Alligator mississippiensis: one gene and its partners. The protein of the gene in region 1 binds, or shares a complex with, the protein of each later gene. Links are inferred from orthologs where the notes say so. Each region holds a gene or a part of one and is shown in the gene's direction. Other genes may lie near its edges. The genes, in order: MED1, MED25, MED20 and PPARA.

What was found.
Region 2: MED1 (region 1) and MED25 share a complex: the UniProt entries of both Homo sapiens proteins name them as parts of the mediator complex. The link is inferred for Alligator mississippiensis from reciprocal best matches to the Homo sapiens genes MED1 and MED25.
Region 3: MED1 (region 1) and MED20 share a complex: the UniProt entries of both Homo sapiens proteins name them as parts of the mediator complex. The link is inferred for Alligator mississippiensis from reciprocal best matches to the Homo sapiens genes MED1 and MED20.
Region 4: the proteins of MED1 (region 1) and PPARA are in contact, whole or in part, in a crystal structure (PDB 9IWM), measured with the Homo sapiens proteins. The link is inferred for Alligator mississippiensis from reciprocal best matches to the Homo sapiens genes MED1 and PPARA. Residues at the interface, in NP_004765.2 of Homo sapiens: Asn638, Thr639, Asn641, His642, Pro643, Met644, Leu645, Met646, Leu648, Leu649, Lys650; in NP_001001928.1 of Homo sapiens: Val284, Thr285, Thr288, Glu289, Lys292, Phe297, Leu302, Asn303, Gln305, Val306, Thr307, Leu309, Lys310, Pro458, Leu459, Glu462, Ile463.

What each region holds. Positions count from the first base shown.
Region 1 is NC_081827.1:165,686,537-165,693,830, forward strand, and holds the start of MED1 (mediator of RNA polymerase II transcription subunit 1), read left to right. Parts: upstream 1-4,285; 5' UTR 4,286-4,454; coding exon 4,455-4,482; intron 4,483-7,124; coding exon 7,125-7,231; intron 7,232-7,294. UniProt on the Homo sapiens protein: Component of the Mediator complex, a coactivator involved in the regulated transcription of nearly all RNA polymerase II-dependent genes.
Region 2 is NC_081828.1:39,929,154-39,936,158, reverse strand, and holds the start of MED25 (mediator of RNA polymerase II transcription subunit 25), read left to right. Parts: upstream 1-3,988; 5' UTR 3,989-4,085; coding exon 4,086-4,228; intron 4,229-5,929; coding exon 5,930-5,975; intron 5,976-7,005. Other genes in the region: FUZ (protein fuzzy homolog), read right to left, coding at 738-940, 1,061-1,153, 1,275-1,345, 1,441-1,529, 1,656-1,751, 1,843-2,040, 2,259-2,363, 2,497-2,565 and 3 more. UniProt on the Homo sapiens protein: Component of the Mediator complex, a coactivator involved in the regulated transcription of nearly all RNA polymerase II-dependent genes.
Region 3 is NC_081837.1:38,996,236-39,004,127, reverse strand, and holds the start of MED20 (mediator of RNA polymerase II transcription subunit 20), read left to right. Parts: upstream 1-4,890; 5' UTR 4,891-5,068; coding exon 5,069-5,082; intron 5,083-6,667; coding exon 6,668-6,822; intron 6,823-7,892. Other genes in the region: BYSL (bystin), read right to left, coding at 220-380, 586-719, 1,418-1,556, 2,368-2,533, 4,238-4,508. UniProt on the Homo sapiens protein: Component of the Mediator complex, a coactivator involved in the regulated transcription of nearly all RNA polymerase II-dependent genes.
Region 4 is NC_081827.1:136,205,242-136,212,969, forward strand, and holds the start of PPARA (peroxisome proliferator-activated receptor alpha), read left to right. Parts: upstream 1-4,712; 5' UTR 4,713-4,858; intron 4,859-4,985; exon of another isoform or gene 4,986-5,306; intron 5,307-7,728. UniProt on the Homo sapiens protein: Ligand-activated transcription factor. Key regulator of lipid metabolism. Activated by the endogenous ligand 1-palmitoyl-2-oleoyl-sn-glycerol-3-phosphocholine (16:0/18:1-GPC). Activated by oleylethanolamide, a naturally occurring lipid that regulates satiety.

The sequences.
Region 1 (7,294 bases):
AGGGAAGCCCTTCTCCGCCGGCCAAACCTCGCGAGATTTCCCCGACGCTTCTCCCTCCTCCTTCAGGCCCCGACGGAAACCTCGCGAGAGCACGCCGCGAGGCCCTTCAACAAAACTTTATTGAGCCCCGTCGTAACGCGGCACATGGGGGGGAGGGGGACGAACCAACAGACCAACCCCCGCGCTTGTCAGCGTTGCCTTTCCAACAAAACTTTATTGGGAGGAAAGTGAGCGGACAAAGCACCACAGGTGCCCCCCCCTTCAACAAAACTTTACTGACACGTTCCTGAAGACAAATACCCCCCCTCCCCCCACATGCACAAAGTACATGCTTAGGGAGATGAACATAACACAGGTGGTTGTGTTCATTTATGTTCATGTGTGTACATATATACATATACACATATATGTAGGTACATATATACATGTAGACATGTGTATGCATACACCTATTCACATAACTCCCCAAGAAAGCCAAAGGGCCTTGCAAATAGTAGCCATAAAAGGCTGCATTAAACACACACTAAGTACAAAACCTAGCTGTCTACTTATACAGGGGGATTGGGATCACTGCTCCCTGGTCCCAGCTTAACTTCTTGCCCCTTTCTGGAGTTGGAAATAAAATCCAAGAGTTCTGGCTTCCAGTCCCCACCTTTATACTTTAAATCCTATTCCCTGCTCAGAGCTGGAACCAGAAACCAAGACTCCTGATTTTAATAGCTCTTCCTTGCTGCATCCACTTGTCTCTAAGAACCGAAAAGAGGACACCAGCGCCCTGACCCCCAGAGTTCTATCACCCCTAGCTTTCCTCACAGCTGGAAACAGAATCATATGATCCAGAACCCTCATTCTATAGCCCTAACCCTCCAGAGAAAAATCAAGTATTTATTTTTATTGTTGTTGTTACTACTACTTGGACAATCATGTCCAGCAGTTTTTGGAAACAGGGACTGCAGTTCCTTGGTGCTTTTTGAAAAATGGGTCCTGAGGCTAGCCAAAAAGTGAAGCAGATCACATCAGTGGAGACTTCTGGAAATGTCCCTTAGCCATTCCTCAGGTAAATTATCATTGGCTCCTTGTGACATGTTACCCAACAATAGAACAGAAAGTAAAAGGATCTGGTGTATAGTGGGTGGTATAATATAATGTCATTATATGCCAGCCTTAAACACTCCAAAGCAAATATGAAAAGGAAAAGAGCAACAAAAATTGCTTTTTCCTCCCTCTGAGAATAAATACCCTCCCCCCAAGCTTTTTCTACATGGAAAAACTGTGAATATTCCTATTTTAAAACTTCCATGCTTGTTCCTTGAAGTATTGAGGCTTTCAATATAACAACAGCATGATACAGGAATGACTCAAACAGCATATCCATTTAGGTTTGAAACTGTCACTATAGAATGTAGATTTATTTTTATGAGGGTCACATCACTTGAAGGCAAGTTCCAGAAAGCTCTAAAATTGCAGGTTTTAATTGGTGTCTGTTCTATTTGCATGTGTGTATTTACAGCTTCCATTTTGTCACATCGACATTTTGAGCTCTCTCGCTATAATAATGGTGGGTCTGTGTTCCATTACAAACCCTGTTGTCTATATTCACTAGGCCATACAAATTCTCTTTAGGCTGACACTCAGCATATGAAATCTCATCAGTTTTGTTTTTAAGTTAAAGGGTGACAAAAGTACAACTATTTTGTGGATTTACAGATGCTCCTCCCTTCTCTTCCTGAGGCTGCAGTTAACTCAGTAGCGATGGTCCTTCCACATCTCCACGATTTTTAAGATGAAAGACAGGCCATCAAATTACACTCTCAAATTCCCACATAATTCCCAATATCTTTGGATTTATTTTGCTATTGTAGAAAGACATCCAAGCTTGCTTTCAAGACTTGAAGTTCAGATGAATCCACCACTTTCCTCAGCAAATACTGGATCCTATTATTCTTTGGTCTCCTTGTCTGTCTAATTATCTGGTTAATGGAACACTGTTCTCGACTGGAACTAGAACTGGGCACCAGCCTGCAGATGAATAGCTTGTTTTAGTTAAAGTAACAGACTCTAATAACCTCTGGAAAGGAGGAAGAGGTTAATCTCCAGTTTCTATTAATTTCAAAGTAACTATTGTATAAAGCAGTAGTTATTGTAAATCCTAGGTAGCAATTTCTTTTTAACAAAGTAGCACATGACTACAATTTTATCATATAGTCTCAGTGGAATTTAAAACAATTAATTTGTATTCACTACCTCATAAAGATGTAGATACCTTGTATACTTGGCCACTGAAGGAGATGAAATGTCTTACTCAGGAAACAGGAAGAACTCCTACCCCACTCAAACAGGTCACCTCATCTGGTGGTCAAAGAACAGAACATCTTCAGCTGTGGTGTGTTAAGAGGAAGCCATAAGGTGGGCTGGCCCTTTTCAAAGAAAGGCTGGGTTTGTCTCTGACATTAGTATTTTGTCATTCTACAAAGGTGAACCTGATGGTTTTTTTCAGGTTTTGTGGAAGGGAATTGACAATATCAATTTTTCTGTCCATAGTGATGAGCTAGAAATGTAAATTTGGATCTTGATAGTGGGAAAACTGAAATTACGTGCTAAAAGAAAGCAGAAAGAAGAGCTCTAAGTGGAATGCTGCTAATCTTGGTTCCCCCCCCCCCTTCTCTCTCTCTCTTCCTCCCCTCCTCCCCACCCCCCTTTGCAGTGCTTCTATCTTTGGGTGTTGTGCAATTTACTGTTTGTAAAAAACGTTTTTCTCTGGTGAAAAAGAAATGCAAAGTATGTTAATAGTATTGTACTCTGTACTGAACTTGAATGAATAAAGTGGAGGTATGGGAGAAGGGGAAAAAGTCCTTCTAAAGAGATGGGAGGTAAAAGTATTTAATGCATTTAGAAAGCTGTTATGGTTTGCCCCATTACACTTGATTTTAAGATTAAAGTAATATCTTTAACACTTTGTTTGATAGTACCTAGACCAAGTTAAGGGCTCATTGGATGTATGTTTAGACTTAAAGCACAGTGTTTATGGTACTGTTTTATCAACCGCTGTCAGCTTCCAGTTATGTGCTGGGTATGTTCCTTTTGTATTACATCAGTGGTGTTCAACCTCTGGTCCAAAGGTCACACCTGGCCCACAGCCATGTCACCTGGCCTGTGGGACTCCCCACAGGCACAGAAATTTGGTGATAAGGAAGTGATAGCAAAGCTAAGTGTTCCTAGAGCTGTAGTGTTTAACACTACTGCCAGTGTGGAGCCTCACAGGTCAGATGATGTGGCCCTGTGCAGAAGGAGGCTGGGACCGTAGCAACATTGGCATGTATGCTAAAGCAGCATTTATCTGATCTCAGACTTAAAAGGAGTGCTCAGAAGCAGTACAGGGATGTAGGTTGTAGCCGTGTTGGTCTAAGAACATAGGCAGACAAGGTTCCTTGGGTGAATCTGATATCTTTTATTAGACCAACCCAAATAGTTGGAAAATAATAATTAGGCAAGCTTTCGGGTTCAAAAACCCTTCGTCAGGCTAAGGAAGTTTCAGCAGTTGCTGTGTGCTCTTCCTGGATGGAATGAAAAGTAAAAAAGCCAGGGGCTGGGCTGGTATGCATACAAGACAGGTAGTCAGTGAAAATATAGATTGAGGAGTCAATGAGTGAGAAGAAGCAGTACAGTAAGTCTACTGCCTGCCATCTCAGCACAGTGAGATAAGTGAAAAGTCTGCTAGCCACCTTCCTGGAACAGCTGAGATTTACAAATAGTCCAAAAAAAAAAAAAAGTAACACAGTGGGAACATTGCTGTACAAAGCAAGGATTTCTTATGGAGATACCTTTTATTGGACCAGCTGTACAGGCGGAGTGGAGTTAGATGCACTCTCTGAAGAAGAAAGTATTGCCTAACTCCATCCTATCCACCCAACTGGTCCAATTAAAGGTATCGCCCTAAGAAATCTGTGCCTCTAGCCTGGCTTCTGGCCCATCGCGGCTCCACCATCGCTCCTGCCCGACTCGGTATTTGAAATATTTAGTTCTCCTCCCCGTGTAATTACTGTTACATCTCCGTAGCTCTTTCGAACTGCAAAGAAGTCTCAGGGGCAGCTACTATCAAGTAGAGGCTTCGGCCCCGCAGCCGAGCGCAAAAGCCCAAATGCCTAGAGTGGGGAAGGGAAGTTGTACAGAAGCCGAGCTGGTGCTCCAGATCCCGCGAGATGTCGGCGCAAGCATGCTCCGCTCGCTGCTCTCTTGCGAGATTTCCAGGCTCTCGCGAGAATGCGGAAGTGTCGCGCAGTTTGGAGATTAGCTATGGCCGTTGGGATGGCGGCAGCGGCCGCGGACTGAGGCTTCTCCCGTGCGGGGGGGGGGCCTGGCCGCGGGGAGCCGCTCGACGCGAGTAGGCACCTGCGGCCTGCCCCGGGGCCCGCCCCTCCTCCCTTCCCCATCGCCGTCCTGCGCCCGCCTGCAGGATGAAGGCGGCTCAGGGGGGCGCTGAGGGTGAGTGCCTGGGGCCAGAGCGAGGCTGCGCCCCCAGCCCCTCGCTCAGAACGAGGCTGCCCGCGGGGGCGGGGGAGGGGGCGCTGCCGGGGCGGGGACAGGGAGATGCTCATCTCCAGGGCAGGCGGCAGCCCACACATCCTTTTCCCTGGAAAGCCAGCAGTCCCTACCCTCAAGTCCCCAGGGGGATGAAGGACCATTTCCCCCCTCCCAGTAGGTTTCAGGGCAGCATCCATCTGTCCTCAGGAGCATGTCAGGGACCCGTAGCGCACGGGTTGGTGCCCTGTATGAAGCCACGGCTGAGCTGCCCAGGAGGCGACCGGAAGACAGGGTTGTGCTCTTTTACCTGCAGCCAGAATCGGGCACTGCTGCCCGTGCTAGTCCAAACCCCTTGGTAGGGAGCGCTTGCTGGTAGCTAAGGGGCTTCTGGCATGTGCTGCTGCACCCGGATGGGAGAGGAGTGTATGTGCCAAGGACGGGATGTTTCACCTGGAGCTGAGCAGCCTCGTGGTTTACAGAATATGAAGGTGCCCAAAACTGTGTTGGTGCAGGTGACCGTGTGGTGTGTAAGCCAGAACAGCTGCCTTGGGTTGAGATGGACCTTCATGTTGTGTGACTTGCAGCCTTATTGGCTGCACCTCTGTGAAAGGTGATGACAGCTGCCATTTGCCCCAACTTAGGCAAGTTGAGCAGATCCATTTAGTTGCTATCATGATGTCAGCACAGCTTTTAGTAGGGCAGAGTTTGGGAACCTGTTCTGTGCAGTAAGGGAAATGGTTTCTAGAGCTTAGAGTTCTTCCCTATATATAATTTGCCCCTGTATACATCAAATGGGCATGGATTCATTCTGAGGGTTTCAGTTCTGCTGTGTTAATTGGTTCAAAAAAAATTTTTTTAATGTGTATCAGAAACAATCCACGAACATATTAAACACACAAATATAAGGCATGTCTAAATCCACCTCTTCTGCAAAACTAATAATCATCATGCTTTCAATGTAAATTAAAAAGAAGAACTAAAATTAATAGCTAGTCTGACAGACAGGTTACTTTTCTTTTTTTTGGTGACATCTGGTGCCAGCTGCTAAGCAGGGATAGTTGACTTCCTCAGTTTCTGAAGGAAATAAAAGACTATACTCTGGCTGAAATTCTGCTTCTGTTGATGTCAAATGCAGAACTTCTACTGCATCCCAGTGGACCCAGGATGTCATCCATTATCTGGAAATTTGTACCAGCCATTTTAAAGAACTGTTTTCTGCATGTGGACCTGCAGATGCATTCAATATTAAGTTTATGGCATAATACAATTCCCAAACTGAGTTTTGAAATGCCCCTAACATATTTACACAAATAGGAACTTGTGCCATTAAAGTTTTAATCCTAGGTTTACCTTGAACTGGACACCTCAGTTGAAGTTGCCAAAACAAACGGGGATGACTTTGCTTAAACTCCAGGGTCTAGCTTTAGAGAAGCCTGCTCCATATCTAGTGAAAGGGACACCACTTAAAACTATTTTTAGACAAGTGTTATCCCCAATTTTTACAAATATCACAGAAGATACTCATAACTAGAGAGTAAGGAAAACTATTTTCTCTGTTGTTTCAGCTTGTTTACTTCATGCATTTGATAATACCCTTTGTATAGTCAATGACAGTGTTTCCACTGCATCATCAGTTTCTCTGTAGTTTATAAGCTTCTTTTCCATTGCAGTACTGAAGACCAAAGCACTTTTAACACACAGTAAAAAAGCGCTGTAACCCCCCACCAAATAACAGAGAAATTGAGATGCATAAAACTTGTTTCTTAAGTTTTAAAGTTGATGGAATACCATGAAACCCTGTTTGCTGGGAAGTGAAACTGAAGTTGCTAGTTGTTTCATTGTGTTGCAGTATGCAGATTGCTATCCAGATTCAAGGACACCTCTGTATCCTGCAGGCACCCACCCACAGAAGATGCCAACCCATGGGTCTCTAGTATGAGTAAGATCAGAACTCCTTTAAGTCATAGAAGTCCCAGCTCTCTGCAGCATTGGTAGTTGTTGGCCTGTGTTGCATTCCAGCTGTCACTGCCTCAGTCAGGTCCTTCATTTTAAGTGGGTTCCAGCTGGAGTCTTTATAGGCTGGTGATTCACCCTTCACTGCGTGTTACGAAGGTATTCTTAAAAACAATTTAGAGCAAAAATGTGAGTATAATGGCTCTCAGATTTGGGTCCACAGCTTCTTTTCAGGTGGTCAGTCCACAAATGAAAAAGTTCGAAACATAGAGTGTGATTAGGGTTTTGGGAGTAAGGAGGAGTCTGTGGAAGTATTTTTGCCTTATAAAGTTCTCAGCAGAACTCAGAGTTGAAAAACAAACTGCATATGCATGTTCAGTGCTATGAAAACCAGGAGATTTAACCACTCCTCTTCAAAGATCTGTTGCTACTTCAGGTCTTTCCCATGAGCCTTCAGCAGGTCTTAAAAGTGTGTGTGTATAATCAGTAAAAAGATTTTTCAAAGTTGTGGTTTACCCTAACATTGAGATGGAATGGCGGATCTTTTAGATGAAGGGGGGGTTTGTGTCTGTAAAAGTTTTGTGTTGTTTGAATTAACATTAAATTGCAGCAGGTCCTGAATGAGATGTCTTCTGTAATTTGTCCCATAGAAGCAGAGAAGCTGAACAAGATGAGTTCTCTCTTGGAAAGACTTCATGCAAAGTTTAACCAGAACAGACCTTGGACTGAAACTGTGAAGCTTGTCCGTCAAGTCATGGTGAGAGTTTTCGAGAGATTGGTGATATTACATAGTCTTTTTATGATTCATACTTTGTTAGCA
Region 2 (7,005 bases), on another chromosome or scaffold:
GAGCTGCTGCTGCCCCAGGGAGGGGGAGGAAGCGGGGGTCCCCACAGGTGCTGGCCAGGCTCCATGGTATTTGCCGTTCTAGGTGTTTTAGCGTCACGTAGTTCCTGCGGATCAGAGCGTGTGTATCTATCTCCATGTGACTAATAAATGGGGCACCTGCCAGGGCCCCTAATACCACCTGCCCCCCTCCCCTGAGCTTCATTCTGTGCTGTGGGACCCGGCAAGGGAGGGCTAGGGGCATCAGGTCACAGGTACAGTCGCCACCATGGCACTGGGATACACCTGCTTCTGGGGTGGAGCATGTCACAGCAGGGTGTGGAGCAAACTCTGGATCCTGCAGGGTGGGGAGCACTATGCCCCTCTCTCTGCTGCACGGGTGGTCAGGTGGAAATGACACAGGAAACACAGATCGGGGTATTCCCTGAGGTTTAATTACAGGCAGGTGTGTCTCAGCCCTGGTCCAGGGCCCTGAAAAACCCAGGTGTCTAAGCTGCCAGCCTCAATCCCCTCTCTTGCCAGGCTGTGGGGATTGAGGCAACTAAGCAGCCAGTGTTCATTCCCCCTGCCTTAGAGGAGACTCAGGACCCCAGTAGTCAGCATCAGTGCTCTCTTGACATGTAGGGATCTGGTCACGTGGAGTCTGTCTCTTATTGCCAAGCTGTAGGACCTAGGCATTTGGGCGGGTGGCATCAGTCCCTTGGCCAAGCCATGGGACCCAGGTGTCCAGGCAGGTGGTATCAAAAGGCAGCATCCCCCACCAGGTACTGCAGAATATGGGTAGCCAGCGGGCGCAGGGCAAAGGTGGGAACCTCGGGCGCCAGTAGCAGGAAAAGCTGATGCGGGGGCGCCTGGGCAGCGTAGGCCTTGTACCCAGCACTGACCACATAGCAGTGCTGGGCACTATGTGAACCCCCACCTAGGGGCAGCTCCAGTGGGGGCACTGCAGGAACAGAGGGAAGGGGGGTGCTTAGGAGGTACCTGCCCAGTAGTGCCCAGCAGAACTAGAATCGGTGCTAGGGTCCCTGGTTGGAGAGGCTTGGGGGCCAGCTCCTGCACTCACCTGGGCTCCCCTCACAGGGAAAGTAATGTGAGACTACCAGGGCATAGAAGGCCCTCAAGACAGAAGCACAACTCCCCAGGGGCAGTGCAGGGCCTGTGAGGAAAAGGCAGGGAGGAGGAGGTGGGTGAGGGCAGAGTGGTAGGCACTGCCCTGGCACTGCTGCAGCACATTTTGGGGGCATCAGGAAGTCAGGGTTTGTGGGGGCAGGACCTACCCTCTGCCTGAACCCCTCTGGGCAGCACTGCACTCAGACTCCGCTTCTGCTCGCGGTTGATCAGCAGGAAACTGAGGGAGGAGATGTAGTGAGATGGGGTGGGGGGCAGCTAGCCAGGGGTGCTGATGCCCCTGCCCAATGTCCCATTCGCCCTCCCCTGACTTACGCCAGGACTCCAGGGTGCAGTGGGACACTGGGGGGACATGCACATGCCCGCAGAGGCTCCAGCAGGGGCTTCCAGAACCGTGGCACTAGCTGAAACGCAGAGATAGGCAGGCTAATGGTGCCAGTGTTCTTTCTCCCCCCCCCCCTCAGCGCCTTAGCTGGGGCTTCTGTGCAGGCTTTGTGGGGGGGTACCATGCTGTCCCCCCTGGCACCCACCTCAGTCTTCACAGCCTCCAGCGAGGGGCTGGGCCCACACAGGAGGCAGATGTCCAAGCCGGGCAGCAGCTGGAAGGTAAGGAGACGGTGGGGGACCTAGGGGGGGAGGGGGAGGCATAGGCATGGTTATGTCTACTCCCTACTTTCCACCCCTTGCAGCCTTGAGCCCCTCCCCATGGGCTCTCACCATGGGGCTGCCCTGGGGCAGGTAGACAGGGTAGTCCCGGGTAGTGCTGGGAAGTAGTGAGCCCACGAGCCAGGCCAGCAGATTCACCTCCTGGGGGGCCAGCTGCCACCAGGGTTCAGTGGCCACTGCCACACGGCCGCCCACCAGCAGGCAGCCAAAGCGGCTCTCTGCTGCCCGTGTGAAAGCAGTCAGGCATTCCTGGAAGAGGGGGGTTAGGAGGAGGAGGGGTCAAGGCAGGGCAGCTCCTTCCTTGTCCTGGTCCCAGTAGTAGTTGCCCCTCCCCTGGATCCTCACTTGCTCCAGCATCCCAGCCTTCTGCTCATTCCTGTTTGTCCCTACTCCCGTGCCTGTGGGCCAGGGCACCAAGGTCCCTCCAGGGGATAAAAGTAGGGCGTGGGCCACCGTGGAGCTCTCACCTGCAGGATGGTGCTACAGGGCACAAGCACACACTCCACACAGTGCGTCAGGTCCCCAATGCGCTCCCCAGGCATCAGGAAGCTGTCAATGAGCTTGTAGCAGGCCTGGTTGTAGGTGGGGGGAAGGGTGGAGTAGGGCTCAGCCCCACACCAGCTCAGGGCAGGGGCATATGGCCCTGTTGCCCCACCCCACGTCCAGGGCAGTTGGGGCATCCTGCTCTGCCCTTCCATCACTTACCCTCAGGTCCTTTTTAAGGCGCTCCACATTGCGGATATTCGCCAACTCCTCCAGGCCCAGCACCAGCACCTGGAACCAGGCCCCAAGCCCATCAGCCTGACACACTGAGGGGCTGGGGCGCAGGGCTGAACCAGGGCAGCTGTGTGAGGATACAGCTCTGCGTGTGTACATATACATATGCGCACACATGCCTAGGGTCCTCTAAGGGAAGATGGGGAATGTGGGTACACTTCCTGGCCCCCCCCCCTCCCCCTCAGCCCTCTAGGGACCCTTTGTGTAGAGGGGTCATATGACAGCACCCCCCTCTGGAAGGATAGGGATGGGGGCTGGATGTTAGAGCAGGAAGGTGGGGTATGGGGGAAGGAGGGTTGCTCCATGGACTTTGCTGGGGGAAGGAAAGGGATAGGGGCATAGAATGGGGGCGGGGAGGCTTACCATGGCACTGAACACATTGTCCAGGAGTCGGCTGAGGGTGAAGTCACTAGCACCTTCCTCTGATGACATCACAATGAGGGTGATGCTGGAAAAGCCAAGGGGGGGGGTAATGGCCCTGTCCAGCACCATAGCCCTTCAGGGCCAGCCCCAAATGGACCCCCTGCCCTACCTGGAGCCCTGCTCCCCTCCCTCAGGCTAAACACCTGCCCCCTTCCTGCCAGACTCGCTCCCCCCTCCAGCTCGACCTGTGGTCCCCTCCCTCTCCCCCAGGCCAGGCCCCACCTGTTATGAAAGGCCCTCCACAGCACGCGGGTGCCCTCCGTGCGGGCGGCTGTCAGCGCCACGTCCAGGTTAGAGCCAAACATGTGGACGCCGTTCAGGGAGCCGATCACGGAGAAGGGGAGCTGGGGGCGGGGGCGGGAAGTCAGTGGGGTCCCGGGGGTGGTGGTGGTGAAGGGATCCAGGACTAAGCTCTCTGCCCAGAGCCAAGGGGGAACCCAGGCGTCCGCCCCCCTCAGCTGTGGAGGGGGGGGGGTGGCCGGATGGGACTAGGGCACCTGGGTTCTCTCCCAGCCCTGGGAGGGGAGTGGGGGCTGGGAGCCGGGTCACCTGGGTTCTCTCCAGGAGGGGCGGGGCGCGCTGAAGCCAGGGCGCCTGGCTTCTGCCCAAGCCGCGGACGGGGCTGGGGCCAGGACTCGCGGGTCCCAGCCGAGGGGGGGGGAGGGAGTGCTGAACCGCGCGGGACCCGATGCAGCCCGAGGCAGGCATGACTGATCGGGGGGTGGACGCCTGCGTTCTCTCGGGGCCGGCCCGACCTGGTGCCGTGTGGGGGCGCCGCGGTAGAAGAGCGGGACGCCGCTGGTGGCTGCCAGGCAGAGCAGAGAGACGGGGCTGCCGCCAGGCTCCGCCATCACCACCCTTTCAGCCTTCTGCAGCCATTTTGCCCGCGCGGGGCACACTGGGGAAGCCGCGCAATTACTATGGAGACCGGGGGCGGGGCCTAGACCCCCTACACCCGCACGCGGAAGCGAAGAGGAGTACTTCCGGTGGGCGCCGGAAGCGGGTCTCTACGGGGGTAGGCGGGGCCTGCGTGTCCATGGTAAGTCCGCGGGACAGGGGTGCGCCGTAGTGACCCACCGCCCGCCCGCGGGGCGATGGTGGTGCCGGGCCCGGAGGCGGCGGCCTTGGGCGGGCCTGGCGGGATGGTGGCCGACGTGGTATTCGTCATCGAAGGCACGGCCAACCTGGGGCCCTACTTCGAGTCGCTGCGCAAGCACTACCTGCTGCCCGCCATCGAGTGAGTGTCGTGTGTCCGTCTCCCTCCCCCCCCGCCTTGAACTCCGGCTCCGGGCTCTAATGCCAAGCTGGCACTTGTCCTGATGCCCCCCCGCCCTGAACCTAGGCATCCAGGCTCCAGCCCTGCAGTGTCTGGCTCTGTCTGCTCCTCCACCACCCAGCTGGGAGGCCCTAGCCTGCCCTAATTCCCACCCCCCCAGTGAACCAAGGCGTCTAGGCTTTAATGCCAGTCTGTGACTCCTGCAGCCTGCCCCGTGCCTCCCGTAGTGACCCTGGGCATTTGGGCTTTAATCCTTTAACACCTGGCTATGGACCCCCAGCTGCCCCAGTGTCCACCCCCACCAGCTGTGGGACTTCCAGGGGTGCCCCCCCCCCAGTCTACACTGGCAGGGTGAGCCCAAGGATCCAGGCTTTACCCCTTTAATGCTTGGCTGTGCCCACCCAGCCTGCCAGAATGACCATGCCCCTGCCCCCCCAGTGCTCAGACTCACCATTGCTCCCAATTGGGTAAACAGTATCCCATCTTAACCCTTCAATGCCTGGTTATGCCCCCCATCCCTGACACCCATCTATGGGCACCACCCCAAAAACTCCCAGCTGTAAGACCTCCCCCCTCTTTGCCCCATAGCTTGCCCAGATGCCCGGATACCATGCCTGTCCTGCCTTATTTAATGCCCAGTGATGTGTCGGCCCCCGCCCCCCCACCTGGCTCCAGCCCCAATCGGATTAACACATCTAACAACTTCTCTATGCCCCTTCATCTCTGTCCTGGCATGTGGCTACTTCTCCCCGCCAGTCTTCCATCTCTGCTCCCCCACCCTGATGCCTACTTATGGATCCCCCCAGCCTTCACTTGATATCCAGGTCTCACCTCCCTGACCCTGATGCCTAGATATGTACCCCTGGTCCCCAGCACCTGGCTACAGCCTCCTCTCTCTCCTCTTAGTGCCTAGCTGTGTCCCCTCATCACTTTCCCAGCTCCAGTCGTTCCCCCCCCCCCCGATGCCAAGGTATGGGACCCCCTAGCCTACTCCCAGTGCCCAGGCCTTCACCTCCCTGTCACCTGGATGTGTTATCCCCAATGGTTCCCAACACTCAGCTACAGCCCCCTGCCCCCTCCAGTGCTTAGGTGTGACCCCTCTTCTCTACTACAGCTCCCAGCTACAGTTCCTCCCCTCCACGATGCCCAGCTATGGGACCCTCCCTCCAATTTATCCTTGATACCCAGCACGCCCCCCTAAATGTCTGGCCCCAAGTGCCCCACCCTGCTGTCCCTGTTCTCATCCATGACAGCCAGGCACTGTTGATACCAGCTGGGCACCTCCATCAGTGGAAGCAGCTGGTCTGTCTCCCCAGCACAGCTCCATCCAAGCAGAATGAGGCCTGCTCGCTACTTGAATGGGAAGCCTCCAGATACGGTGGGAGGGGGAGAGAGCAGCTCTGTCCCCTTCACTGTTCCACCTGTTCTGTGTCTGTCAATTGGATCATAGCTGCCTTTTCTTACCTCTCCTGAGCCACCCCAGCCCCCAGCAGTCCCACCCCCTTCCTGGCACCCTCCCACCTGTGCCCTAACAACCCCCCTCCCCCCACAGGAACAGCCCGGTTCAGTTGCCCCACATATTCCTGCCCTGCTCCATCTCTCCTCCAGCCCCGCTGCCCCCTTCCCTATTTCAGCTCTGATAGCTTTTTCCTCTTGTCACAGGTATTTTAATGGTGGTCCACCAGCTGAGACAGACTTTGGGGGAGATGTGAGTAGGCAGCACAACATTGCCTGGAGAAGGGGGAATTTTATGGCCCAACAGTGTCATTCTGGGGGCAACTGTCGGGCAATCCCATGCGTGTGTCCTGCCCCACCTCCCGGCCCGCCTCTGGCAAACTGTCATGAAGGGTGGGATGAGCACCCTGGATCCCTCCATGTCCTGGGTGTGTGCATGGTATCACTTGTGGGTGCAGGAGTGGCCCTCCTGGTGTCCCAGCACCCCCTGCCAAGGGAGGGCATTTGGGGGGTACCTGGCATCTCCAGGCAGTGGGGTTGGAAAGCTGGTCAGGGATGTACCACAAGCTGGTCTTTCACAAGGGAGGTCAGGGTAGGATGTTCAATTTGCTGGTCATGCCTTAGGCAGGGACGTACCACTTATGGGCAGTTCCCAGGGGGATGGGGTGGAGTGTACCACTAGGGGGGCAGGGGTGGTTCATACCACATGTGTGTCATTCCTGGTGCAGGTGCCCTTTGAAATCTTCATGTTCTCCTGTTCACAGCAGGTTGTGAGCATGCAGGGTGCCCCTACTCACTTTGGGGGTTCCTTGGATAGTACTGTGGGGGGCACGTTATACCCTGCTCCCCTGAGGGTAAGGATACGGGTGGGACAGGATGAACTGTGGGGTGCTCCTCAAACTCTACCCCACCCCCATCTTTCCATAGAGGTGGAAGGGGCTTGAGGGGCCATGGAGATGCCCCTTCGTGGGACACTGGTCTCCAGTGGGTTGGTGGGCCAGGATGTGGTGCAGTAGCCCAGTCATACCTCACATGCTGGCAACTGATTCCTCTTGTCCCTGAATGCCTGGGTCCTCTACAGAGCCTGAGGTGTAGTTGGAACCTTGGGCTAATGTGGGACAACCAGGGTGGGGCCCAAGCAGGGAGGAGGTGAGGAAGGCGGGGCCCATCTCCTGTTACTGGTGTCCCTGGCTGTCTAGGGGCAGGGCAAGCCCCAGGCCCTCTCCTACCCCAAGAGCACCTGTGCAGAGGGCCAGGCTTGGCAGCAGCAGGAAGAACATGGG
Region 3 (7,892 bases), on another chromosome or scaffold:
CCATGTGCAGAACTTAGCTGTGCCATGGATAAGAAATGTTGTTTCCACGAGGCCAAAGACAGCAGGAAAATACTAAGTCCTCCACCCAGGTCTCTCCCACACCATTTCTAATGACACCGGGGAACAAGGAACACACAGAGAGCCCAGCCCTGCCTTTCTGCATGAGGTAGCTGTGTTGAAAGTCAGCCCAGCCCCTCCTGCACCTCAGTTTCCTTTTACCTTTGAACCAGGCACCTGGCTTGAACAAGGCCTTCTTCAAAGCCATGTAAAGGTGGAAGTTGAGGCGTTTGTATTCAGCAATGTCATCCCTCACGCGAGGGAGCAGCACCAGGTTATAGAACCGCTGGGCCATCCTCTCCTTCAAGTTAGATGAGAAAATCCTGGCAGGAACAAGGGTGTGGGAAATAACTGAATGCTCACTCTCCATTCCAGACACTTCAGTGCACCCAAGCAATCATCTGAGCTTCACCCATCTCCCATGACATGTATAATGGTTTGTCACCAGTTATTATCCATTGATGGAAGCTTCTGCTGTAAATGCACCAAATCAGCCAGCTTTTCAAAGGCAAAGTGATTGCATCTTACCTGGTTGCCTGATACATGGCAGCTGCTGTCCACGTTTCTGGCTCTGTAATGTACAGGATCTGCTCCCAGTTAGACAGAGCAGGGATAATCTTAAATGCCTTGGGGAGTTTGCCGCTCCTGTACTTGGACAGCACCTTAAAAAAGCGAGTGAATACTAGCGGTTAGGATAAGGAACTGCTACACACGCTTTCCACAGTCTGTTACTAATTGCATGTGTCACCCTGAGAAAGACCGAACAACTAAGAGTGAATGGTTGTTAAAGGGCTAGGGCACCTTGCCAACTCCAGACACAGTAGTCTGGAGGATGTAATATTTGAAAAGTACTTCCCACTCCTTCAGTGAGAGGTGCTAGGTGAACAGCTGTGGTTCTATTTGGGAAGAAAGAGCATGAGAGAACACTCAGAAAAGCCTGAAGACATGGCATCAATGCTGGTCTACACTAATTGTACCGAAACTCTCCTCCACTTACAAACTTTTCCAGGCTCCTCGTCATGAAAGAATTTTAGCATTAGCTCCAGAATCTGCTAACTTACCGCCAGCTCAGCAGTAAAAAGCCTCTCAACACAAAGCCCTAAATCAACATATTTGTCTAGAGCAGTTATGATGGAAGGGGAGCATCTGCAGAATTCACGGTCTTCTGAATTACTCTGAAGTGCTACACAGCACTGTAACAGCCGTCCCAGAAGGGGCTGTAGCAAGTAAACAGCCATGTCTGTAGCAAGTAAAGAGACTTTTTCATCACAAGCCACCACAACAGAGAATATCAGCCACAACAGCCGTTGGGTCTGGTTTATATTAGTTATACTGGTCTATGCTATATAACAACTCTTACTTCTCTGACACCCTTGTAAACCTCCAGCACCCGGGGGTCAAGCTGGGGCATGGGGAGGCCTGATATTTCTGACATAACCGTCTCCACCTCTGTCTGCTTCTCTGTGATCTTCTCCATGATGATATCAGCTAGGGTTCTCCTGGCAAACACAGAGAAAGAAAACAAGTTGGAATTAGCTCTGGAAATGGATGCAAGAAGCCAGCTCTTTGTCAAGGCAGATTAGGCTAGTGCAGTGGGGGACAACCATTTTGGCATGCATCGCACAGCTTAAACCCTGCACCATTCCAGGTGCCACTTCAATTCTCCTCTCCTGTCCAACCCGCTGCTCTGCTTTCTGCTCCCTCCCCAATCTGCTGCCTGCCACAAACAGAGGCTACACATCTCACAACAAGCTGACCACCCCTGCTCTAGTGCACTGAGCCCCAGACTAGGTTTCAGGAGACGCCAGTTCTAGTCTAAGATCTGCCACAGGGCTACTGTGGACCATGGACAAGTCAGTTCCTGAATCTGTACTTGTTTCCCCCTCTATGCTTTACATGTCTTAACTTTTCAGACTGCCAGATCTTGGGGCTGGGACTGCCTACTGCCCAATAACAACTGGGCCCTGATCTCAGGTACTGCACACAGTATTTAGGAACAGGGAGTTTGTGCCACACATGCATCAGTTCTCGAAAATGGAGTACTATCTGCTGCTTGGCACCCAGAAAGGGGCCATCAGGACTCCTGGGCTCTGTTCCTAGCCCTCCCTCAGACTTCCTTTATGAGCTTGAACAAGACAATTCTCCATGCCTCAGTTTCCCCAACGACAGGTGGGGAACAGCACTTTAGGCAGCCACCCCCATCCATGCGCTTCCATGAAATGTTAACCCTATTCCAGTGCCGCATGGTGGCAGAAGATACTGCCCGCTGCTCAGAAGTGCCACACTGCAGCTCAGAGGCTCATCTTCTACCTTAGCGGTGGATTCGTGTTCATGAACATCTCGATGGCTCTCTCATCCTCAGGGTTCACTGTCACCTCTTCACAATACTCCTCCTTCTCCATGGATGTGGCTTTCTCCAGTGTGGGCCACTCGTCATCGTCCTCTGCATCGGAATCCCCATCGCGAGATGCAGATCCTAAACCAAACAAGGCACGGTTAGGCTTGGACAAATTGGAAAACTAAGCACCTCTGTGCTGTACCAGTTAGCTCTCCATACCATAGTCTCTCATCACCTCTTCTATAGTGATGAGTAGTTTGAGAGGTCAATGTGAAGAAGTCCAATAGCCCAAGCGGATGGGCACCAGAGACTGCCAGGCCTTGGCTGAAGACACAGTGAGGACTGCCACCCACATTTGATTAAACAGAGCACATCTGAACCGCAACATCATTATTGAGAGAGACCCTGCCAATCTGAAGTTCTAATGATTTGAGTTATAAGCAGCTCCCAGTCCTACCTCTGCACCCGCGTTCCCCCTGCTTTTCTTGTAGCTTTGCAATAGCACTGCCCTATTTTTAAACACTTTTTTTACCCCCCAAACCTTGTTTGAGGATGGATGCCCACAGACACAGGGAAAGCTGCCTCAGGGGCTGAGCTTACAGGTCCATGCATTCACACACACCTTTGACATCACACATGAGAGCAGTCCCATCAACTTTAATATACAAGATATAATATTTCTCTTTGGTCTTTCAGTTAGCTTAGATGTTCCAGGTAACAGCAAATAAAAGGTTTTCAGATTTCCCATGTCCGAGGATTACTTTAGGTTGACAGGTGCTGCTCTGAGCAGGGGCCTGGATTAGATGACCTCCTGAGGTCCCTTTCAACTTTAATGTTCTATGATTCTATACTTTTTAATGGCCACATATACATGAAGCAAGTTCCCAAGGTAGAATCTAAATAATTTCTTTCCAGTGCTCTTTGTCAGTATTTGCAGTGAACGTGGTTTGTCCCACAGCTACAGCATCCTGGCCTAGCAACGGCCCTAGTCCAAAACATCACTAGTATGACAGAAAGACATCCATTCAGCTCAATCTGCTAGGTTTGACCGCACAGCAATACCATCTACAGTGACAAAAACAGGCTGACGTGCTAGCTAAGCAGTAGCATGTATGCAGGCTGCTACAGAGCTTGGCTAGAAGGGAGTCTGACGTAGGGAACGATCTCTATTGTAGCAGGAGTACTGAGGGGTGTCCGGTCCATGTCTGACCTTCCCTACTCCCTGTTTATGTTATTAAAATGGAACATAAAACCACAGCTCACCCCTTTTGTCTTTAAGGAGCATACTTGATCAATCAATCCCAGTGGGAATTCATCCCATCCCTGCCCTAGGTCAGCTGCTGTTTATCAATAGACAGGAACAACCTACGGTGATTTAGGGCAGGGAGAATTTCACGTTCAAGGACCCAGGGAATAAAGCCAGGGACTGGACATCAAGAAGCAGGGATTCAGTCCTGACTTTCTTGCAGGACTTCTCTACTTCTGCAGTGTGCTGCTCGGAAGACAAGACCCACAGGGGGCTGAGACCTGCGTTTGTGGGAAGACTAAAATGTCTTTCCTGCCAGAGCAGAGCGGGCTGGACCCGATGATCCCACGAGGTCCCTTCCAGCCCTAAACGTCTCTGGAAGGTGATCAGACACTATAGGGAGAGAGCATGGATCAAAAGGGATGAGAAGGCAGGTGTGGGACAGCGCGGGGTGGTGTAGGGTTTGCCCTCCTCTCCCCTGGAAGGCAGAACCGTGCCCCTGCCAGCGCCACGACCTGCCCTCGGGGCTCAGGGTGGGGGGGATCGAAGGGGATCGGGTTGACATCTCTTCTCAGCTACTCCCCCGCCCCGCTCACCCAACACCGTGGTCTTCCTCGGCGGCTCGGCTCCCCGGCCCGGGCAGTGCTCGGCCTCCAGCTCCTCCTGCTGGATCCGCGCCTGCTCCAGGATCTTTCGCGACAGCTTCTCATCCACATACTCGTCCTCCGCCTCCGCGGCCGCGCCGCGCTTCTTCGTCCTCCGGCTGGGCCGCACCGCCTGGCCCTGCAGGATCTGCTCGGCCAGAGGCAGGCTCCGCACCGCCTCCCCCGGCCCCGCGCTCCCCTTGGCCCGCTTGGCCTTCGGCATGGCGATCCGCGCACACGTGGGCGGAGGGGAGCAACGCGGCGCGCAGGCGCGGATGGAACGTTGCGACTCTCAACGTTCCGACCATTGCGACAGGCGTGTCCGAACGTTCGCTCTTAAAGGCGCCGCCGCCCAATTTTTACTTTCTTTTCTTTTTTCATTCTTTTTTTTTTTTTTTTTTTACAAGGGGCAGACGGGGCTGATGTGTGTAGGCCAGAGCTGGGACGGGTGTGAGCTACTGAACCGCGTGTGAAGGGCAGCTGCTCGTCTGTCCGCTGCCCACGTGCCCCCGGATCAGCGGCGGAGGAACCCGCGCTTGCCCGCATCAGCAGCGGGTTGCCCCTGTCTCCTGCCCCCCCTCCATCCCCTCCCAGCGTCGTAGCTCGGCCTCCCCACCCACTTCTGGCCGCCTGACATCATTTCCTACTCGGCTTCCCACCCCTTCCAGCGGGAGAGGACGGGGCTGGGCTAGAAACTCCGCTTCCTGCTCGGGAGAGGCGGTCCCCGCGCCTGCAAAGAGGATCCCGAGTAGGCAGGGGCTGGCCGGGAGCGCTGGGCCCAGCATGGGGGTCACCTGGTAGGGCCCCGGATGTGTGCGGGCTGGGGGGAGGCTTGCAGGGAGCAAAGGGGCGAGGGCAGGTGAGATCCCCCCATGGGGGGAGGGGTGCAGGCTGAGCTGCCCCTCAATGCACAGGGGTCTGAAGATCCAGGCCCCACTCAGCACCCGCCTGCGGTACCACCACCGGGAGCAGGCGGTGAGGAGTGGGATGAGGCCCCTGGTGAGCAAGGGGCTGGGAGGTAGACAGGGTTGAGAGGAACTGACAAGAGATCAGGCTGGATCAAGCCAGGTCAGCGTCGCAGCTGCAAATACAGGGCTGTGATGGCACCAGGCGTCAGGGGCACGGAGGTGCCGCTGTATCAGAACAGAGACGCAGGGTCCCCTTGGCAAAAAGGCAAAATGGCCTTGGGGACAAAGTCGTGCTCTGGGTGTCTGCTGTTGTCACCGGAACAGGGCAGACGCCGGGTGCGAAGCAGTCCTGCCTGGCCGAGGCTTCTTCCTTGCGATGCTCGTCCTATGTTTATAGGGGCGGCAGGAATGGCATCGGGCTGTCGCTGTGGCACTTTGTGCAGGGCAAATAACCATTGTCTGTAGGGCTTTCTGGGTTGTGGAGAACAGCAGGGTTGACATGGAGTGGACTGAAAATGCCAGACGTGGGGCTTTTGGGTGTGCCTGCCTGCTCTTGGAAGCGAGGGTTTCTTCTGTGGACCTGTCTCTAACCTGAGACAGGACGTCTTTGTAAAAGACCCGCTATCTAGCTCAGGGCTTTGTACTCACGGAGCAGTCCATCCTCCATTTCTCTCGCAAGCTAGCAGTGCAGGTTTATCATCAAACGTTTCACTGGAAGCATGAGAAAAGTATGTGGGACCTAGCAGTGTGTGTGGCCCACCGGCAGACCCCATGCCAAGGCCTCACAGCCCCTAGTTTGGGAACTGCTGCTGTCGTTCAGCAAGGTAGAAGTTACCGGGTAAGGTTCTGTGACCTGTGTTGCATAAAAAGCCAGATTACATGATCACAGCGGTCCTTTTACAGCCTTTAGAGGTGTTTGTTACATTTGCTAGTCGTGTTTAGTACTGTAATGCTTCAGGCACAAACATGAACAAGGCACTGAGTAGCATCGTCCTTGCCCTGAGAAGCCGAGAGCAGCAGTTCTCATTCTTTTTAGACTCAAGGCATCCCTGGATAAATTAGAGGTGCCCGTTAGAAAGTGCCGCCTCTTAGTTTTCATTTCTTGAACATGGGAAAATAATAGAGCAGTTTTTCCAATGTAAAGCACTCAGAAAGCCCTCAGCCATGGAAGTCTGTTTGAAATCTTTGGGTTTGTATAACCAACTGTGCTAACATTATGTGGAAGGATCTCAGGGTACCCCAGGGTACCCTGGCACCCTGGTTGAGAATCACTAGTGTGAGCGGATAAGATAGATGAAAGTAATGCTGACAGTACCGTCCAAATGCTTTACAAAGCAAATGGTCATCACGTGTCGGCTTTTAATCTCTGTTCTAGATGCAAAACGCTGTTGTCTGGCTGTATTGCATTCTGCCTTGGTTAAGGTGTCTCGGTATCTATGGTTATTGACTCTTTTCTGTAACTCCTCTTCGATAGTGTATCTCAGATGCCAGTGGCAGAGGGGAAGAGTGTCCAACAGACGGTTGAAATCCTGACAAGGAAACTGGAGCTGCTCGGAGCAGAGAAACAAGGAACGTTTTGTGTCGACTGTGAGACCTACCACACAGCTGCCTCCACCATGGGCAACCAAGGTCAGCCTGTCGTTTCGCTATCTGAGTGAAATGCTTTGCAGAGAACCTTATATTGGCTGCAGTAGCTGGTAGCTCTGGTTGGGTTGAACTCTGCTCTCGTAATGAGTTAAATTATTGTCCTCTTATTGTTCTAGCTGGGAGTGCTAAAGCCAGCTCTGAGGCCTCTTCTTTCTCCTGTTTATACCTTTCTTCTCTCCAGTCGTCTCCCCAGCATGGTGCTACTGAACTGGATTGAACTAGCGGTAGGAAGGAAGAGCTGGTCAGACAAGCCCGGTCTATGCTGTATAATCTTGCTAGCGGGATTCAGTTCTACCTCCTGTAAGCATGCCCCCACTCAAAGCTGCTATGTGGAATCAAAATCTTTTTCTTTTGCCGGCAGAGTGAATTCATCTCTTGGGCAGACAGAAGGCTGCTATTTAACAGCTAACAAAGGCTTATATGGACAGGTCTGTACCACCTTCTGGCTGCTGTGGTCCCATTAGCATAGGGCTGAGCAAAATTGTGGATCCAGCTGGTGGCTGGACTCCATTACCCAGCAGCAGTGGCATCCTGACAGCGCGGGGCCAGGGTTTCCATGGAGACTGGCCCCAGCAGCGCTGGCAGAGCACATGGCTGGGCAGGGAGCTATTCCGGGGCTGGGATCTTTCAGCAGTGACAGCGTGGTCCAGAGCCAGGGCAGAGCCGCGATCTGCTGCCTGCACGCCCCTGCCCAGGGCATAAGGGCAGCAGGTCATAGTTTTGTCCCAGCCCTGGACCACGCTGTCGCTGGCTCAAGATCCTGGCCCCGGAGCAGCTCCCTACCCAGCCCCGCTCTCTGCCAGCGCTGCTGGGGCCAGTTTCCGTGGAAACCCTGGCCCCATGCTGTCACAGTCCTGCCCTGCCGGGGTCTCCATGGAAACTGGCTGCAGTGATGCAGGCAGGGGCTGCTGGGAAATGAAGTCTGCCGCAGGCTTGATCCACCAGACTTTGCCTGCCCCAGCTTTAGCAGCTATGTCCCCACAATGTGGGCCATTCTGATAGGGCTGATGGCATGGAGCTCTGCTTTCACTCTTGTGGCTGTTGACTCCTGG
Region 4 (7,728 bases), about 29 Mb from region 1:
TAGGAGGGTAGTAAAGCACAGGAACAGGCTACCAAGAGAGATTATGGAATCTCCATCTTCAGAAGTTTTTAGGACCCAGCCTAGACAAAGCCCTGGCTGGGATAACCTAGTTGGGGATGGTCCTGCTCTGAGCAGGGGATTAGACTAGATGACCTCCTGAGGTCCCTTCCAGCCCTAATTTTCTCTGATTCTATCATATGCTCCTTGAACTCTGTGGTTCCTGCCAAAATGTAATGGTGTGTGTGAAATAAACTATTATGAAAGTCTTTGTTCAAGTTTAAATAAAAGGTGAGAAGAGTCTTCTAGTCTAGACAACAAAAATGAGGTATACTACATATTAAAAATTGTATGATAAGATCTCTAACACATTTGCCAAAAGTAACCATAGCACCCAGTATACCTTTTGTGCATCTACAAGCCCAAATCCTGCATTATTTTAAGACTGAAGGAGGCACTCATTCACATTGTAAATTTGGACCAGGAAGCTTGCATTTTCCCTAGTTATGAACTTATGCAGAGCAAGGGCGACATGTAGGGGGTGCATGTGGGTGCACGTGCACCTCCTGTGCATGGTGGTGCAGCCCCTGCAAAAAGGTACTGCTGACACTGTCGGCGGTGCCTATGGGCGGTTGCTGCTTGCCACCCCACTGCTGGCACTGCCAGCAGCGTCTGTGGGAGGTCTATGATCACATTTGGTCACTGCCAACACTGCCAGCGCTCACCACCCCGCATCACCTACAGTGCCGTCAGTGTCTGCGGGAGCTCCCCGCTCACCACTGCTGCTCTCCTGGCACCACCAGGGGGTATGTGCTATTCATGATGCAGAGTTCAGTATTGAGCCCTTATTCTGCATATTTCCATAATGCTATTAAAAAAGTTAGTATCTGCTATGCTGCTGATTTTAAGATTGCAACCAGAAATATTGTATTACAGAGCTGCTCTTTGTGATCCTGTGGTTAAGGCTGTGTCAAGATCAGCTGGGTTATTAATACTAGAAACCTGGTTACTGCACAAGTGTAATTACGTTTCATAATTAATTTCAGTATGCCAATTTGCATTAATACTGAGTTACTCTGTATTAATAGAATGCAATATTAAATGCAGATTAGCTCAATTAAAGTTTCTTTTAAATCATTAAATATTTGAAGAATTCATTACATCTGATGTGCTCAGACTTCTTATAACTCTGAGCAATATTTAGCTGGTAGATGTCAAGGCATCAAATATAGACTATGCAAGCAAATCAATAATGTGCACTTCAAAATCTCTGTAAATACATAAAGAGATAATCTGGTCTTGTGTAAATAAATATTTTAAATAAAGTTTCTCTTTATATTCATGTTCTGGGGTACTCATCATAATAGTTTACAGGCATCATATGAGTAATTTACTTAAAAGAAGGAAACACTTCCCAAAGTAGGGCCCAGAGATCTCTTTTTCCATACCTTGATAACACAGCTTTCCAAAGGAAACTGCATCTATAGAATGGTCAGCTACCTTAGAAACTAATTGTCACTGAGAAAAAGCCTAAACAATGTTATGGATTTTTCTAAGAAACTTACACAGCCAGTAGCCTAAGAAATGGTGTTCAACCTCTGGCCTGCGGGATGCCCCATCTGGAAATGTTGGGGTGGAGGAACTGCAAGTGTATTAACTGCCATGGCTTCCAGACCTGCAAAATGTAGCACTGCCACCACTCCCTTGCCATCAAATTCCCACTCTGGCCTTTGGGGCCAGGAGGTTGAGCACCACTGCCCTATAAGATACAATTTCCACTGATTTTTTTTCTAATAATCTCACTGCAGCACTACTGAAATTCTATTGAGGGGAGAGTCGAATGGTGAGAGTATTCATGCAGACTAGGCATATAACCCTTTTCAGAGAATGACATACAATTTTCCCCTAGAAGTTTAGCCTGGGAATGCCAAACTAGAGCATCTGCATTCAGCATAACAGACTTGGGAGGTCAAAAGAGGAGAAACAGTCTCTTCCTACTTATTTCAGATATATAACTACTGGTAATTCCCGAAACAAAGTATATTGCAATGTTTCATCTATGAAGAGGTTTAATCAGTTTGGGTTGAATAAACTATCTTGTGGGAACATCTTCAGAAGTAAACAGGAGTGAATAAAAAGCACATCTGCCTCCTGTTCAGCTGAGCTGTGCTCCACACAGGACCTGAGGGGATATCAGATGGATAGTTCTCTTGTAGACTTTCTGATGCTACTGGCAACTGCGTACTGGCTTTTCCTTTGATGTTATATAACTTTGACACTGCCCTAATGCTGCTCTAAGTTTATACTGGAGGCCAGAATGTGGCCCAAAATCTGTCAAATGTTTTGGGATAGAAGAGTATGATTTAGGATAGAAGAGTACCAGCATTACTGTAAATGCTAGTGTTTTTCCCCAGTAGCTACATTTTACTGTCAGTACTGTACTATTGAATTGTTAATACAAACAAGCACTTTCTTCCATTATTTTAATTGTTGTTTGTACTTTTTATCCATTCACAGCCCTATGTATTTTTTGCTGATTTTCTTCATCTCTCAGTATTGTTGTTTATTTAGCTGTTGAATGTGAAGCCTCAAAACCTGCCACCATTATCCCATCAAATACTACTTACAGTGGTAATATTAAGCTAACATATATATAGGCAAAATGGGGTCAAGTATTCAAGTATTCTACATACATGGAATATTTTAAACAGCAGGCCATTTTTTCTCTTTGCCACCCCTGTAAGTCCGCTGAAGTCAGCAAACAAAAGCAATAGTCAATAAAGTGCAATATTTTTGCATAGGAGAAAAAAAGGAAAAATGTGATAATCTGAATAAAAGCATTTTAAAATATGATTTTGATGCTCTTTGTGCATCATTGTAAACTGTAATTATGAGCATGGTCATGAAATTTAATCATGCATATGATGCAATTTATCAGCCTAAAGTTCCTTTGGAATATACTTTCCTGTTCTGTTTCTTTCTCTCTTTTTGCTATTTTAATTATTTCTCTAATTGTCCCATATAAATAAATAAAATCTCTAATATTTCCATAAGCTTTTTAGAACAGACAGTATGTGCATTAACTTCCTAGAGTGAAATACTTTCTACCAGTTTAGAGACTCCTCCTCATCTCCGTGACTGGTGATGTGGCCTGGTTAGAAACATCTTTTTCGCTTTGTGCGATGCAGCTGGCACAAAGCCAGCCTACTTTAGGAAACTCCAACTAGCACAGGACATTGCAACACATTGCCACAGTGGCACAGGCTGTCATAACCACATCAGCCACCCAACTCCACTTTCTAAGCTGGCTTCTGATTAGAACAGGGATGATCAACCTCTGGCCTGTGGGCCAAATGTGGCCCGTAGGACCATGGTGGCATCTGGCCCATAGGGTTCCCCACAGGTTAGAAAATTTGGCAGCAGGGGACTGGTGGCCCTTAATACAACCACCCTCCCATGCTGCCAAATTCCCACACCTCTTACCCCCTCAGCCAGATGGGGCCAGGCCAGACTCCTTTTTCCTGTGATCAGGTTGGGGTGGGCTATGTCTCTTTCCCTCCAGGAGGCTGGATCAGGGCCAGGCTGCTTCAGGGCCCCTCCACATGACCACTGCAGCTGCTCTGATGGAGCCTTGTGGAGGGAAGGGGCCAAGCTGTTCCAAGCCCCCTTCACATGGCCACTGCACCTGCCCTGGGCAACAGATCAGGACCACAGGCTGGATCTGATCTGCAGAGGAACTTAGGCGTTGCCCATCTGGCCCGCCAGGGAGAAAAACTGAGCACCACTGAATTACAACTTTTGGGACCAATGGACCACAACCAAACCTCAGTATTTCTAACGGGTTACTTTTAATTGAAAACACAGGCAAGGAGATCAGGGCCCAGCGCACTCGAGAGACCATCTACAGACCATTCACCCTGGCCTGATGGAATCGCTGTTACAGAAGACTGAAGGCTGGCAAGATCGCCTGGAGGCCATCTGTGATCACCAGGGATCCTGGTTTTCCGTTTCCCACGGAAAAAAAAGAGAAAACCATGGATTTCCCATTTTTATCAGAGAAAACACAGATTTCCCCTTTTTGCAAGGAGCTCATCAGACTGAGTTCCAGCCTGCGTGCGCGCGCGCGTCTGTGTGTGGGGGGGGGGCGTGTCTGTGTGGGCGGGGGCGCGCGCGCGCGTCTGTGTGTGTGTGTGTGGGGGGGGCGTATGTGCGGGTGTTTCTGTGTGTACGTCTGCGTGCGTGTGTCCCTGTGCGTCTTTTTTTCTCCTGAGGGGGCCGGGGGCACGTGCGTGTGTGTCGGTAAGCGCCCGTCTGTGCGTGTCTGTGAATGCGTGACTGTCCGGGCGTCTCTGCGTGCGCATGTGTCTGACGGCGCGTGTGTGTGTATGTCTGTGCGTGTGTGTGCGTGCATGTCTGCGTGCGCCTGTCTGCTCCCGTGTCCGTGTTTCCCCTCACACGCCCGGCTCAAGGGGCTGTCTGTGTGCGTGGCCATGTGACGCGGGGATGCGTGGGTGGGGCCCCGCGCGAGGCGAAGGCGCGCGTATGCGCGGGGCTGGGCGCTGAGGAAACCCCAGCCGCGCAGCGAGCCTCCCCCCTTGGGCTGACCCGCCCCCAGCCGCGGGCCTCTCCCCCCTCCCATCCCTCCGCCGCGCAGCCAATAGGAGGCGGCGGCGGCGGGAGGTGTGTGCCGTGACCTCACTTCCTGGACCTGTCACCCGGCCGCCAGCCAGACGCGTGTTGGCTCTGCTGACTGGCTCGCTAGGGCCGGACCCAGCCCCCCCGCTCCTCCTCCCCCGCCGCCGCCGCTCTCCGCCCCTCGCGGGGGTCGCGGTCCCGGGCTTCGCCGCCTCTCGGGACACAGGTGCGTGGCGGGGCGGGGGTGATCCGTCGTGGGCGCAAAGGGGTTAATCCGTGTGGGGGCGGAGGTGTGGATGCCTTGTCACCCCTTGTCCTTGTCACTCTGTGTGTGTGTGAGTGTGTGTGTGCGCATCAGTGTCCCAGAGCCTGCAACGGTGGCTGCCTTGCGACTTAGCTGACCCAGCAGTGGCAGGGAAGTGGCGTCCTGCCCCACACGAGATGCACCCGAGGCTGCCGGGGGAGCCCCAGGTTCCCCACAGGGCTGGCGGCTGGTGGCCAGACAAGAAGAACGAGTTGGCGGCTGCCCCCGCAGGGCAGGCCATATAAGCCTAAGGTGGTAAGCATCAACCAGGGAGAAAGCCCTGGCACCCTTGGGGCGCCTTGAGAGCTGTTCAAGTGGGTGCTACGACAGGCTCACGCTACTGCTGAGGTCGGCCACTGTGGTCCACAAGGTAAACCCTGAGGTTTCTAATGGAAATTCATGTCTGCGGTCTTTCTGGGCTCTTGTCAGCAGGAAAAGCACTCTGAAGTTTTTCTCTTGTCAAAAAAAGAGTGAGCACTAAGAGCTGGCATGTTCACGGGCACCGCGAGCCTGTCCAGGGTTGCCTGGAGCCTTTAAAGTTGGAGTCACTTTGGTGTAGAGGGTGTTGGTTGTAGCTGGGTTGGTCTAAGGACATGGGCAGACAAGGTGCTTTGGGGAAATGTGAAGTCTTTTTATGAAACCAGCTAAATAGTTGGAAAAATAGTTGGTTTGTACCTGAAAGCTTGCAAAGAACAATTTTTCCAACTAGTCAAGTCTAATAAAAGATGCCACATCTACCCAAAGCAACTTGTTTGGTGCAAGGGAACATTCAGGCCTCTGAGATAAAACAACTCCAAAGTGACTATCTGCTCACCCCAATTGGTCCAGTTACCCAAGCATGAGGTGCTTGCTGGAAAGCTCTTAGTTGGAAGGACGTAAAGACGGGATTTGTTAGATTTAACCCGGAGTAGGGATGGCGGCATTCCCAAGACACCCCATGTTCTCGAAGCCCTGTCTATGTGAAAGTGTGTAAAGTTGTCTGTTCTAGGTGTCATCTTATAGAACGTGTGTCTGTACTGACTTTTTATCATTCTTGTTAGTAACAAAATCTTGTCCCTCTAGGCTAGGTACAGACATTCAAAATGCCTGAGGCAGAATCAATCTAAGCTGCATGGTTTTCTGTAAGTGGCCTAGTTTAGATTGGTAGCAAACAGAACACACATTTGCCTTTTGGCGGTCGCTGACTGGTGTACCAGAGGCACCAGACACCCATTATGAAACAGCCAACAACAGTGTCAATCGTGGCTTCTGTGATACGATCACTGCCCACTAGGAACTGTACAGCAAGTTCATCAGTTGCTTATTTTGTATGATCTACCAAATAGTCATTAGCTGATAGTGACTTTTACAGCTATATAGTTACTTTGTACACCTTAAGTAGCACTCACAGTACACTGTTTTTATGAGGATGAGAGTCTGAAGCTGACCTTGCTCTCTTGTTAGCAGAGTTTGAGAGCACTGCATAGGCAGCATGCTTGCTCTCTCTCTCCCCATGTAGGGCAGGGAACATTTGACATCCAAAAAAAAAAAAAAAGTCCTCTTCTTCTCTACTCACCACTCAGAAAGATACAGTGCCCTTCAAACGATTATGTGTGGGGCATGGAGTAGTTGTGATTCACTTCTGTTTTCATAGTCTATGTTTTTTTAATATTTTTCTGGGTGAGTTGAGCAGTGCCAAGAATCATAGAGCAGATAGGTGTCATAAATGCAAAATGTTACTTTCCAGTGGAGTAGTAGGCAGCCTAGGAGGAAACCATATTAACCCTCCAGAAAAAGCTGGGTTACAGACACTCAATGTTGCTGTGAGGTGCCAGGCAATCCTACAAGAAACCAATGTCTTCGAAGTAGCAGATACACTTTTCAGTTGGTTTCTCTCTTTTCCTTACATGCTGAGACTTGAGTTCAAGGGTCTGTTTTCTTTGAAAAAGAAATATCTGTTGCAAGGGGAAATGGAGAATCCTGCTGTGTAAGAAGAATTGGGTTTCAAATATTTTGTATTAAAAATGTAGCTTACGTGCAGAATATTTCCAGAAGCTTTCTATGGAGCTTGGGAGCTTGAACATGTTAAAGTTTCATCTTAAAACAGTTTTGTAAGTCACCTCTAAAGGCTGAATTTTCCCCTTTAGGTTGGGTGTATAAAAGAGTAGATTTAATTAAACCATTATTTACTCTTTTGTGAAGGTATGTTTTAAAAAAAATCCTGGCATTATAAGGTGCATGTAACATAAAATCCCTACCTTTTGAGGTGTCACTAGTAGTCCATAGTCATATTACATTGGTGTCTTCACATGGGTTGGGTTTGTGTGTGCATTTATACTATCAAAAATGTAGACAAGCTCCTAGAATGATTTACATGCGACCGTCAGTGTTGAAGGAAATTGTTTTGTGCTACTAAAAGCATTTTGGTTTATAATACCTGACTAATAGAATATCCTGGCTTTCACCAAGGAGGTTTTTATTGCTTTACAATACAAGAGGACAGCCAGGATGATACTGAGACTTGACAGTGACAGGTGTCAAAATATTGCATGCCTGAATAGTCCCTTGTAAAGATAAGCACAGGTATATGCTATATGTTGACCCCAAGTATCCAAAAATAAGTTTGGCCCAATATATGAGGTTTGCCAAAGAAAAACAGAAAAGGGGGTGGAGAGTCTCTTTATTTTTTACTTTGAGTGCTTATGGTCTGCCCCGCCGTGCTGAACCTGTGGCGCGCCGTTTCCACAATACCGACTGCTCGGAGAGCTGGTCGTAAGTCCGAGCGGTCGTTAAACAGGTAGGTCGTTAAGTGA